3 linked regions of the Macaca mulatta genome follow. The protein of the gene in region 1 purifies or fractionates together with the protein of each later gene. This does not show direct contact. Links are inferred from orthologs where the notes say so. Each region holds a gene or a part of one and is shown on either strand. Other genes may lie near its edges.

Region 1 (3,566 bases):
AGAAAGGCCCACATGTGGTGGCTGAGCACAGAACCAGCACTCTCCAGGTCATGTTGTAGGAGAAAGGCCGCTCCTCAAGCCCTGCAGCCCTGTAGCCCTCCCCTCTATGGTGTACTGGGGCCCCTTTTGGGCTGCGGCTGTGTGGGGACGTGTCGAGGGGCAAGGCTAGAGTTGTATCCAGGTGAAGCCCATGTGAGTCACAGGACTGTGCCACCTCCACACACACCAAGGTTCCCCTACAACAGGCTGGTGGAAGGGAATGAAGCTGCTGCCCACAGCCCAAGCTCTCCACGGCAAAGGTGCAGCAAAAGTGGCAGAATCCACCGACAAAAAAGAAGAGGAGATCCTCTCTCCTGTTAACTGAGTTTTAAAGAATCTGTGGGGCTTTTGTTTGTTTGTTTTGAGACAGAGTCTCATTCTGTTGCCCAGGCTGGAGTGCAGTGGTATGATCTTGACTCACAGAAACCTCCGCCTCCCAGGTTCAAGTGATTCTCCTGTCTCCCAAGTAACTGGGATTACAGGCGCACGCCACCACGCCTGGCTAATTTTTGTATTTTCACTAAGGACAGGGTTTTGCCGTGTTGGCCAGGCTGGTCTCGAACTCCTGATCTCGAGTGATCCGCCTGCTTCTGTCTCCCAAAGTGCTAGGATTACAGGTGTGAGCCACTGCGCCCAGCTATCTTCCATAAATTTCTAACCTTACTCGAGGTACAATGTTTCCACAGGGAGAAAGAAAAAAAATCAAAAAGTAATTGATGATGATGACATCTTGAAATGACACAGCACAGAGTCCAGTGCAAGGGTCAAAGTGGCAATCACGAACCTCTGGGGTGGGTTCCATGAACTTGGATAGGAAAAACTACATGCTTATTTCCACTAACTTCTGAAATTCAGCATTTCCTTTGGTTATAAATGTAGGCTATACATCACAGCAGTGTTAGCAATGACTGCAACTTTGTCACCAACAGAAGGCACTGATATTTGCATATCAGGCCACAGCTGTTGCAGCTGCCACCGAGATCCTCACACAGCCCTCACAACTTGGAACTTACACCACTGTTGGACCTGCTGCTAAAGCTGGTTCTTCATTTGTTAACATAAAGTACCACCGGTGTTACTGTTTCACAAATGTGGTATTTCAGGATGTTAATAACGATGTTTCAGTTGAACTGATTGCCCTGAAATCCTAGACATTTATTTTGTAGATTAGTAAGAAGGGATCTATCTGCCTTGCCAGACCACCCAAGGGCTCCACGGCACAAAAAAGGGCTTAAAACCCCAGGTCTGAGATGGGCACGGTGGTTCACACCTGTAACCCCAGTACTTTAGGAGTCTGAGGTGGGAGGATCTCTTGAGCCTAGGAGTTTGAGATCAGCCTGGGGAACACAGTGAGACCCCATGTTTATAAAAAATTAAAATAATAACAATAATAAAAACACTGATCTGGTGGGTCTGAGCGTGGGACCGGAATACAGAGGTTTTTCTTTTTCTTTTGAGACAGGGTCTCACTCTGTTGCTCAGGCTGGAGTGTAATGGGGCATTCTTGGCTCATGCAGCCTCTGCCTCCCGGTTCAACTGATTCTCCTGCCTGAGCCTCCTGAGTAGCTGGGATCACAGGCACACGCCATCATGCCTGGCTAACTTTTGTATATTTAGTAGAGACAGGGTTTCACCATGTTGGCCAGGCTGGTCTCGAACTTCTGACCTCAAGGGATCAGCCTGCCTCGGTCTCCCAAAGTGCTGGCATTATAGGCGTGAGACACCACGCCTGACCCACAGGATTTTCAAAGTAAAAAAATTCAAAACCCTAGCTCCTGATTAATCAGCTGGGTGACGCTTGGCTTGTTGCATCTCTAGGCCTGAGTTTCTTCAGCTATAAAAAAGGGATTTTAAGGTTTAGGTGAGATGACGTGTATAAAGGAGTTGGCACACAGCCTGCCACTTGGTAAGTACAAGTAACAAGCACTGGTGCTCTGGTGGTTATCGTGTCCCCTCTCAGCAGACTTCGATGGAACCCTCCCCCATGCATGGCCCTTGCTGAGGGTGAACGGAGCCCTCGCAGCCCTCCTACCAGGTCACCAAGTGATAAACACTCTGGAAGAGTCCTCCAGGTCCAAGGCACGCTTCTACTTCTGTGTCCTTTATTTCTCTGCCTGACTCTTGCTGTTGCCTCTTTGTCCTTGTGAGCCTTTCAACAGATGGATTAATTTATAAAACAGTTCCCCCCACTACACTCTCCCTCTGTGCAACGCTCCCTCCTGGGTTTCCAGGAAAGGTGACAGTGTGGTCAGTCCTATCACCTTTATGGAGCACCCACAGATGGAGCTACACTAGCTAGAGTGGGGCATCGGCAATGTCCCCAAATAGGATGTACACAGGAAATGGAAGGAAGATATCCAGGACACAAAGGTAAGGCTGTAAGACGCTGACCACAGCCTGCTGCCACCAACCTAGTAAAGAGGTACAACTTAATTCTCGAGTCGAGGGCTAGGGGTAATGACAGTTACCTTGCCAGCAAGCCCCCACCACGAGCTGAGTTTCTATCTTGGATGGATGGAGCGGGTAATCCTCAGTCACAGAGAAGGGCTCGTGGGACGTGCCATCCACATAGAGAGTCACGCTCGGGAATTCCACATTGAGGACGTAGTGGTGCCATTCCTCATCACAGACCTACAGAGAAAAAGGGAAGCGGGGGTGGTGAGATGTCCACTTTCCTTCTCATCAATGCCCATGGAAACCAAGTCACCCAAAACAAGGGTCTTCCTAGAAGGAAAAGGATGAAGAAAATCTAACCACAAAATACCTGCAAATACATCTCACCAAAAGAAGTCCAGCCTCTCTAGGCCATCTCTAAACTACGTGGCATGCATTGCTCACAACCACAGGACACAGCCCAAGCGGGGAGCTGCCCAGTTCTGCTCTGCCAATAGCATAGCACCAGAAAGTTCCTGTATGGGCAAGCTGGATACCCACCCTTTAAAGGGTTGAGTTAGTTTGCCACTGGCCATTCCTTTTCTGAATAAAAATAAAAAGTGCCTTTAGGCCAGGCGCAGTGGTTCACGCCTGTAATCCCAGCACTTTGGGAAGCCAAGGCGAGATCACTTGAGGTCAGGAGTTTGAGACCAGCCTGGCCAACATAGCGAAAACCCGTCTCTACCGAAATTACAAAAATTAGCCAGGTGTGGTGGTGCACGCCTGTAGACCCAGCTACTCAGGAGGCTGAGGCACAAGAATTGCTTGAACCTGGGAGACAAAGGTTACAGTGAGCTGAGATTGCGCCACTGCAATCCAGCCTGGTGACAGAGCAAGACTCTATCTCCCCAAAAAAAAAAAAAAAAAAAAAAAAAAAAAAAAAAAAAAGTGCCTTTAATCTCAGAATAAGGCATACCACAATACATGTATTTTATTTTCCAACTCAAAGTTGATGATCTCAATAAATATGAACATCAGCTCCAAGGGCACCCCAAATCAAACTGTGTTCCCAACCCGTGATGAATGAGCGTGTGAAACCACATCAGCCAGCTGCAGTGGTGGGCCCCTTATCTGGGTCTAACTCAAACAAATTG
Region 2 (4,055 bases), on another chromosome or scaffold:
CGTGATCCACCCGCCTCGGCCTCCCAAAGTGCTGGGATTACAGGCTTGAGCCACCGCGCCCGGCCAGCCCACCTTTGTCTTTATAAATGAGATAAAAGTAACCAGACCTCCCTGGGAAAACCGGGATGCAGTTGCTTCTCTGGTGACTGCGGGGCATAACTGCAGGGTTCACACAGGGCTGCTGGTGCTGGGTGGTAACATCGGAAAGGAACAGCAGTTCACAAGATGGGGTTCGGGGACTGGCCCAGGAACCCCTCCAGGTTAAACGATGCCTCCGGGCCCCGCATTTGGGACGTCTGCAGGCACTGGGAGGGCTTATCCCAAGCCGCTGGCAGCAGCGAGTGGAGCCTCGCCCACTGAATCAGCATGCCCTCCCGGCTGGCTGCTGAGTCAGGCCTGCGGAGCCGGCGAAGCCGCAGGACTTGACCCAGGCCCGCTCCGTTGCCCTTCAGGCCGGGCTGGAGGTCGAGGCCCTGCAGCCAGGGAGATGCGCCGGTGGCTGCGTGGGGTCAGAGAGTGGATGTCTCCCACCCTCACAGCCTACACCCCGGCCCTTCCCCTTTGCCCGTCTGAGGCGCAGTTTGTGTCGAGGGGGAGCGCCTGGAAAGTCTCCTCGTACAGATACGAGGGTCCAAAAGCCCCGAGGAGAGGGAGGCGCAGGGTTAGGGATCAGGGTCTCGACCAAAGGCTGTCGGTTTTCCTGGAGAAGGGAGAAAGGCCTGGCCGGGATCCTGTGATTCCGGGGGCTCCCAAAGGCTTCCTAATGGGGTTTTGGGGGGACCGAAATGAGCGCACGAAGCTCGCGGGCCTCCGAGTGGGGCGGGGCGGGAGCCCAGTGGTGGCGGCTGCGGCCAGGCCTGCACCTTCCCCGGCCGCATTTCGGTAGTGCCCACAGCCCGGCTGGAGGGGAAGGTGCCGAAGCGCTCGGTCATCGCGGCTGTGAGGTCGGAGAGGCCAGGGCCTGGCCGCCCACCCCGCGAGCCGCGCCCTGCCCCAAGCGCCCCGCCCCCGTCCGTGTTCCAGCCGGGAGGCCCGCGGCGTCCTGCACCGTCACCCTGTTCCCTGTGACCGCCCTCCTGATACCCAAACAGCTTCCTCGCCCCTCCAGTCCCCAGCTCGCCGAGCGCTTGCTGAGAGCCACCCAGCCTCAGTTTCCCCAGCCCCGGGCGGCGCGAGAGGCGATGACGTCATGCCGGCGCGCGGCATTGTGGGGCGGGGCGAGGCGGGGCGCCGCGGGAGCAACACTGAGACGCCATTTTCGGCGGCGGGAGAGGCGCAGGCGGCCGAGCGGGACTGGCTGGGTCGGCTCCGCTGCCGCTGCGAGGAGGAGCCGCGGGGCTGTGCTCGGCGGCCAAGGGGACAGCGCGCGGGCGGCTGAGGATGCTACGGGGCGGCGGCGCCCCTCGCTCGTGACTGCTGCGCCGCGCCTCACACAGCCGAGGCGGGCTCGGCGCGCGGTCGCTGCTCCGCGCGCGCGCCCGGCGGCGCTCCTGGTGCTGACAGCGCGAGACAGCGCGGCCCTCAGGAGCTGGACGGTGAGTCCCCGGCGTGCGCCCCGGACCGCGGCCCCGGCCCCCTCCTCATCCTCCGCCCCGGCCCTGTCTCGCTCCTTTTCGGACCTGCCCCGGGCGCAACTCCGTCTGCATCCAGGTCCCTGTCCCGGTTTGGGTCCCAGACCCTGTCGGTTCCCACCCCGGTACCCGCCCCAGTTCACCGCCCCGGCCGGTCCGCGACCCCTTGCAGGTTCAGGTCGGGTTCCTGTCCCCGGCCCCTTTCCCAGCCCCAGCTCCCGGCGCCGTGCGTCCTCCCCATCCGCGTCCCACTGCAGGTTCCGGTCCTCGACCCTGCCCAGGGCCCCGCCCTGGTCCCGCATCCGCGGCTCGGCCCAGCTGCGGGCGGCGGCGGCCTTTCCCGGGGACAGCTGTGGACCCCGGGAGCCCGCGACAGGGGAGGTGGCCGCCCCCGGGATCGCGGCGGGCGGGGAGGCCGGAGGCCCGGCGGGGCTGGCTTTGTCCGATTCCTCCTCTTCCTTCCACCCCCGCCTCTCCCGGCACCGCCCTGAGCGGACGCGCCTGTCATCCTCGCGGGCGGCGGGGGGCCGGGTCCCTCCCGAGAGCCGACTCCGCTTCGCCTCTTTGGCGACCCGTTTTTTTCGGTAACCAGATGTGAAACGTTTCAGGCGACCCTGTTCACCTAAGCTGGCGTTGCTCCAACTAAAGTTGAAGCAGCCCCCGTCCTGGAATGCTTTTTCGATGTAAAATTGGGTGCACCCTTTTCCCTAGGAAAATTAAAATAAAGCGTTAAAAAAGTGAAATTAATGCGTGATGGAGTGGATGGTTTTATACTTAATATTTGTAGGTCGTTTCTAGGTATATTTGTATTGGAATTGTTGCTGCCTGTTACTTTTTATTATTTCAATGCATTAAGAATTTACATATTAAGCATTTATAAAGGAATACTTACAAAAATGATGCTTCTAAAAAATGTGAGAACAAAAAATTTGAGATATACTATTTCAGGTGTTCTGTAAAAGGGCAGTTAGAGCTTTGATTCTTTGCATTAGTTAAATTCCAAGGCCTTTTTTTTTTGGTATGGCATGACTAAGCCATTGATCAGAATCAGCTCGGAATACATTGCACTAGTTTAGTGAAAAACGCATTAGGAAACTGGAACGACCTCCTTAAGTTATATTACAGCCATGGCCTTGCTTCTTTCAGGTATTGCCAACAAGCCTGTTATGGTGAGAAATTTGACCTATTGCTCTGTTTCCTAAATATTTGTAGGAATACAATGATACCAAGTATGAAGTGTATTTCAACTTGTATGGAATTCTGTGTGGGAGGGTAGGCACTCTAAAGAGCCAGTGTCTCTCCAAGTCATCAAAGAATGCAACATCATGTTGCGGTTGAGCCTGGCAGCCCTGTCTGGCACTGAGTGCTGTGGAGGACCCAGGTGGTAACCTCTAACCCTACTGCAGCCTTGCGCACCTCACCTTGCCTAGCATTGTCTTAGAAAAGCATCCAGACGTGCACAGGAGTCTGTGTACTGGACAGCGTTTATCTCCAGCAAAGGGGAAGGGAATGACACTGGGGAGAGGCACACAGTGTCTTAAATATTTCATAACAAATAACTGCACTCATTTAAATTTTATACTTTTTTTTTTTTTTTTTTTTGAGATGGAGTCTTGCTCTGTTGCCCAGGCTGGAGTGCAGTGGTGCGATCTCTGCTCATGGCAAGCTCCGCCTCCCGGGTTCACGCCATTCTCCTGCCTCAGCCTCCCCAGTAGCTGGGACTCCAGGCGCCCGCCACCACGCCCAGCTAATTTTTTGTGTTTTTAGTAGAGACGGTGTTTCACCGTGTTAGCTAGGATGTTCTCGATCTCCTGACTTCATGATTTGCCCACCTTGACCTCCCAAAGGGCTGGGATTAACAGGCGTGAGCCACTGCGCCTGGCCCAAATTTATACATTTTTAAAATTTATACATTCTTAAGCATGTTTCTCAGTGTTGGAAAAAAGTCAATGTGTAACTCTGTATAGGGCCATAAACTATTTTAAAACATACTTGTATAAAAAGAAACCTAGAATAGAAAAATCAAAAGTTGAGTGAAATGTAGGATTAGTATCGCCTGAAAATGTTCTTCGTAGATAAGTGGAATGTTAGAAACCAGTATTTTATTTTTATTTATTTATTTGTTTAGAGATGAGTCTTGCTCTGTCGCTTAGACTGGAGTTCAGTGGTATGATCTCGGCTCCCTGCAACCTCTGCTTCCCAGGTTCAAGAAGTTCTCCTGCCTCAGCCTCCCTAGTAGCTGAGATTACAGGCGCCCACTACTACACCAGGCTAATTTTTTGTATTTTTAGTAGAGACGGGGTTTCACCACGTTGGCCAGGCTGGTCTCCAACTCCTAACCTCAGGTGATCCACCCGCCTCAGCCTCCCAAAATGCTAGGATTACAGGTGTGAGCCATTGCACCTGGGCCGAAACCAGTATTTTATGTAGCAAAGAAATGATCAGTAATATATTCAAACGAGAGTAATATATTCAAACGAGAGT
Region 3 (4,317 bases), on another chromosome or scaffold:
TGGGAAAGGAAGGAGCCAGAGAAGCCTCCCTGTGGGCGCTCGGCCCAACCACCATCCAAGAGAACAATGAGCACCTCCAACCCCCGCCGGGCACACAGGCTGCCTCCGGGTGAGCAACCTTCTCAAACTTCACCTACACTGGGGAGACCTGCCTGGTCATTAGTGGCTACCTTACACCCTACCTGTGCCTCCACGTCCCCAGTCCTCACGGCCACCTGGCAAGGGTGAGGAACTGAGACTGTGCAGGGAGGGCACACAGCCTGTGAGTGGTGCAGCCAGGCCCGCTGCCCAGGCCAGAGCTCTCTCCACTCTCTCTGTTTCTCTAAGGACCAGGCTGCAAGGCAGGGCATGTGATCTCTGTCGAAGCCAGTCAAGCCACCCAGTGATGTGTGCAGGGTCTCGATGCCCACCGATCGCCAGTCCTCTTCTCCCCTGGACAGTAAAGGTTTCTCCAAGACTTCAGACCATGGTGTCACCTGAAGCCCACACCTGTTGAGTCACCGGGGCAGGTATGCGTGGCAGAGGACAGCGAGGAGCGCCCAACAACAGCCCTCACCGCAGCTACCGCGGCCCGATCCAAACAAAGGCCAGATTGATGCCAACCTCACCATCAACTGTTTTTCCTCTGACTTCCTCAGTTTTGTCTAGAAAAATCAAGGTGTCTTATCACCCCTCTCGGCTTCCAGGGGTGTGATCAGTGTCGTTTACAATTATCTCTTATTTTTATCCAGTATTTCTTAGCTCAGTTGGCAAACTAGGTATTTATGCACCTCCATTTCACAATCCATCCCCACCAATTATGCCTGTAAAACTAACATTTTGTTGAGGGAAAAAAAAAAGGTTAGAACTACTTAAGAAGGTTATGTAAACAAGTTAACTAGCAGGCCACAGCTTGGGTCTGGGGTGTCAGCGAAAACATGCAAGGTGGAAGAGAATGAGGAGCTGACGGTCACCAGTTTCACCTCCTTCCAGCGCCCGCCCAACTCTCCTGCTCACACACACTCACACCCCGTGGGACTCAGCCTGCAGCTTCTCAAATCCCATGAGCCCAGGAGACAGTGGGGAGGAGCACAAACCGCACTTCCTAACAAATGAGAGGGAAGACTCGGTGCCCCATCGCTAGTGCCATCACCCCCCAGCCCAGCCATGGAGCTCACTCCAAGGGCCCCCCTGCCAATGCTGCTAGAGCCCACCAAGGGAGGGCTGCCAGCACACAGCCGCAAGCTCCAGCTTCATCCACTCACGCCCTGGACACTGCCCGGCGCCCCAGCGTTCCAGGTCCGCGTCACCCTGGCCCTCCTGTCCCGCAAATCCTAAGCTCAGGAGATTCCCTCCAGCCCAGGCTGCAGAGGGGAGCAGCTCCCATGGTTACCCAGGAATCAGTGCAGAGGGCAGGGCATCCTGGATGCCCCAGACTCGGAAACCGAGATCCTGTCCTCGGCATAGTGGCCACACCTCTGGGAAGGGAGAAACCCCTGCCTCACCTCACTGGAGGGACCCTGACCCAGAGGCCTGAGAAAACGCCGCCTGCAGGCTCCTGGCACCTGCCAACATGCACCTCAGGAAAACTTGTCCCACTTCAATCTGCAAAGCTCTCCGGTCATTATTTCTAAAACCACTGTCCTTTCTCAAAGAGGAAGGAAAACAGAAACAAACAAAAACAGAAAGAGGCACAGGAGGTTGAAGAAGCCAGAGGCAGTTTAGCCCAAAAACAGTGCCAGACGCAAGATGTCGAGTTTGGGGTGCCTCACCCTCCACATGCCCATTTAGGAGCTGACTGCACTCAACCACAGATTTACGTCTGGTGCCTGCCAGGTCCTATCTAAATAGATCTGAAAAATTAAGCCTTCCTTCTGCCAGTAAATACGAAGTTAAGATCAGCAGGCTCCTCTAAGGCTCTGCTCTCCACGGGGGTCCTTGGCAGGCGTTGGCGAAAGGAAGTTCGCCCCCTCCCCGCCTGGGCACACCGAGGCCCGCCGCCGGGCCCATGGAGCCCTGCTTGGGAACTGGGGACCTCGATGTTCTCCTTCACCATCTGAGCCAGATCTCCCGCCAGCAGCCTTGCCAGGCAGTGCCTGCCATGGGGAAGGGGCCAGGCCAAGGGGCAGGTCCGTGCCGTGCCCCCAACCGGGCACCTGCAGTCCAGGGGCAACGGGGTGTGGGGTTTTTAATTTATAAGTTTTTCCCTCTGGGCCTTATTATAAAGGGAAAGGGAAGGGGGCGAAGATCTGGGATTGGGTTCTCCGAGGGCAGCGAACCCAGAGGCGACCCCAAACTCAGTAGTTGCCGCCCGGCACGGGGACTTGATGCCGCTGCCAAGCGGCCCGGCCAGCCCGGCAGAACCCGAGCGGACAGCACCGCCACACAGCGCCTCTTGCCCCCGCCGGATGGCCCCTTGCCGCGGTGCCCCCCTGCCAGGGATGCGAGAGCCGCCGCCTGGTCCCCGCCCCGCCCGCCCGCCCTCCCGTCGTGGGAGGGGGAAGGGGCCGGTCAGAGAGGAGTGGGGCCGCCGGGCTGTACCCCCAGATCCCAGCGGCGGCCGCCCCGCAGCCACGCCAAGCCCGGAGGGCAGCGCTCGGGAGCGCTCGGGCCGCAACCTCCGCGCCGCCCCCCACGCGTCCGGGTTCTCGCGGCGCCCCGGGCGGCCCCAGGCTGCCGCCGCCGGCGAGTCAGGCAGCCCGGGTTCCCCAGCTTACCTGGCCCGGGCGCTGGGCTGCCCCGGTACGCCGCCGTCCCCGCCCCGCCGCCGCCGGCTCCGTCCGCGAGGCCGAGCTCTTTGTGAGCCCGCGCCGAGCCGCACACCGCGACTGCTAATGAGCCCGGGAAGCTGAATAGCTTCCCGAATAGCGGCGGGCGCGCCCCGGACGCAGCGTACGGCACGCAGGGCCGCCTCTGCCGGGCGCACGCGGCGCGGCTGCGGGGCGCATCCCGCACCGGCCTGTGGCTGCCGGGCCCGCGCCCCCGCCCCGGCCGCTTCCGCCTCACCCCCGCCGAGCACACCGAGGCCGGAAAACGATTCCCGGCTAGATCGCGCGCCGGGAAGAGAGGAAAGACAAAGATGCGTCCGTGCCGGGCGTGCGCGAGGCCCTGCGCCCCCTGGCCCCGGCGCTGGGGCAGTCGGCAGGGCAGGAGGGTGCACTCGGAACCTGGGTCCCGCCGGGCCGGTATCCGGGACCCGGGCTGGAACCCAGGCGCTGGAAGGCGCGGCGCCCCGAACGCCCCGGGTCCTGGGGAGCACACAGATTCCCGGGCGTGCCCTGGCCCTGCTGGCTGGGGAGCTGCAGGGGTCTGGTCCCGCAGGTAGAGCCGGTGAACGCGAGGCTCCGCACCCTACCCGGGCCGCCGCGCCGCGCCGCGCAGCTGTAATAGGGGACCCTAGAGCGAAGAACCCTCGGTTCTTCCGAAAGCCCCATCCGGCAGGGGAGGCCCCCTGCTGCCTCTCACCGCAGCTCCCTTAGGCGCATGCTGGACTCCAAGTCTTCCCTGGCGGTCCCCGGTAACCATCCCAGCACCCTGTTTCTGATACTCTGTGCTGCTTTAGCCCCCAGCCCCAGGGCCTCACTCCAGGCCTTTCTCTCCTTGCTGTCCTAAATGGAGAGGACCCTGACCTCCGCGGGACCCTGGGGAGCACACACTCCCAGACACTCACATGCATCCCCAGGGGAGCCAGTCTTCGGCCACCTACTGCTTGAGAGATCCCCTGGAGGCCCTCGAAGGTCATGCTGGAGACTCCGGTGTCACCTTCGGCCCTCTGGCTCTTTCATTGAGTCCCAGGCAGATGTGATAAGCCGTGGGAGACGTACAGGACGCCTTGTCTGGGCAGAACGAGGGCTCAGCTGCCTCCCACCCCCAAATCGTGGTGATTTGCCCTCGTTTTCTTTTCTCCTGTGGCTGGACTAGGCGAAGCTGTGGCATGGCAAGTTCTGAAGTTGGGGGGGGGGGGCACAGAAGGGCAGGGGGCCTGGGGGGTGAGGATAGCGCATCCTCCTGCTGCCCTGAGGGCCAGAGCTGAGACCCTGAGGAGAAGGGGCTGGGGGAAGCTGAATCCTGAGATGGTCTAGGGTTAGATACAGTGTGGACTTGGCCTCTCCACACCCTGCCCCCACCAAACATTCACAGGCCCCCAGGGCCAGAGTCGCCAGTGGGGGCTGCTCCTGGTAGGGGAGCTTTGTAGCCACAGGGTCAAAGGGGCAAAGGCCAGGGCACGCCAGCAAGGTTCCAGACCTATGCCCCTCCCCACTCAGATGAGCACACCTTCACTGCCTACTTTCCACCTGCATGGACATTCTGCTTACCTGGCTAACACAAAGTTCATCC

What was found. The genes of interacting proteins can lie anywhere in the genome.
Region 2: the proteins of CLSTN1 (region 1) and KLC1 purify together in Homo sapiens (co-immunoprecipitation; 3 studies listed by BioGRID and IntAct, with this or other methods). This does not show direct contact. The link is inferred for Macaca mulatta from reciprocal best matches to the Homo sapiens genes CLSTN1 and KLC1.
Region 3: the proteins of CLSTN1 (region 1) and APBA2 purify together in Homo sapiens (affinity purification with western blotting; 3 studies listed by BioGRID and IntAct, with this or other methods). This does not show direct contact. The link is inferred for Macaca mulatta from reciprocal best matches to the Homo sapiens genes CLSTN1 and APBA2.

The regions. Positions count from the first base shown.
Region 1 is NC_133406.1:231,018,120-231,021,685, reverse strand, and holds part of CLSTN1 (calsyntenin-1), read right to left. Parts: intron 2,671-3,566; coding exon 2,508-2,670; intron 1-2,507. UniProt on the Homo sapiens protein: Postsynaptic adhesion molecule that binds to presynaptic neurexins to mediate both excitatory and inhibitory synapse formation.
Region 2 is NC_133412.1:177,048,807-177,052,861, forward strand, and holds the start of KLC1 (kinesin light chain 1), read left to right. Parts: upstream 1-1,240; 5' UTR 1,241-1,535; intron 1,536-4,055. UniProt on the Homo sapiens protein: Kinesin is a microtubule-associated force-producing protein that may play a role in organelle transport. The light chain may function in coupling of cargo to the heavy chain or in the modulation of its ATPase activity.
Region 3 is NC_133412.1:9,534,410-9,538,726, forward strand, and holds the start of APBA2 (amyloid-beta A4 precursor protein-binding family A member 2), read right to left. Parts: upstream 2,816-4,317; 5' UTR 2,697-2,815; intron 1-2,696. UniProt on the Homo sapiens protein: Putative function in synaptic vesicle exocytosis by binding to STXBP1, an essential component of the synaptic vesicle exocytotic machinery. May modulate processing of the amyloid-beta precursor protein (APP) and hence formation of APP-beta.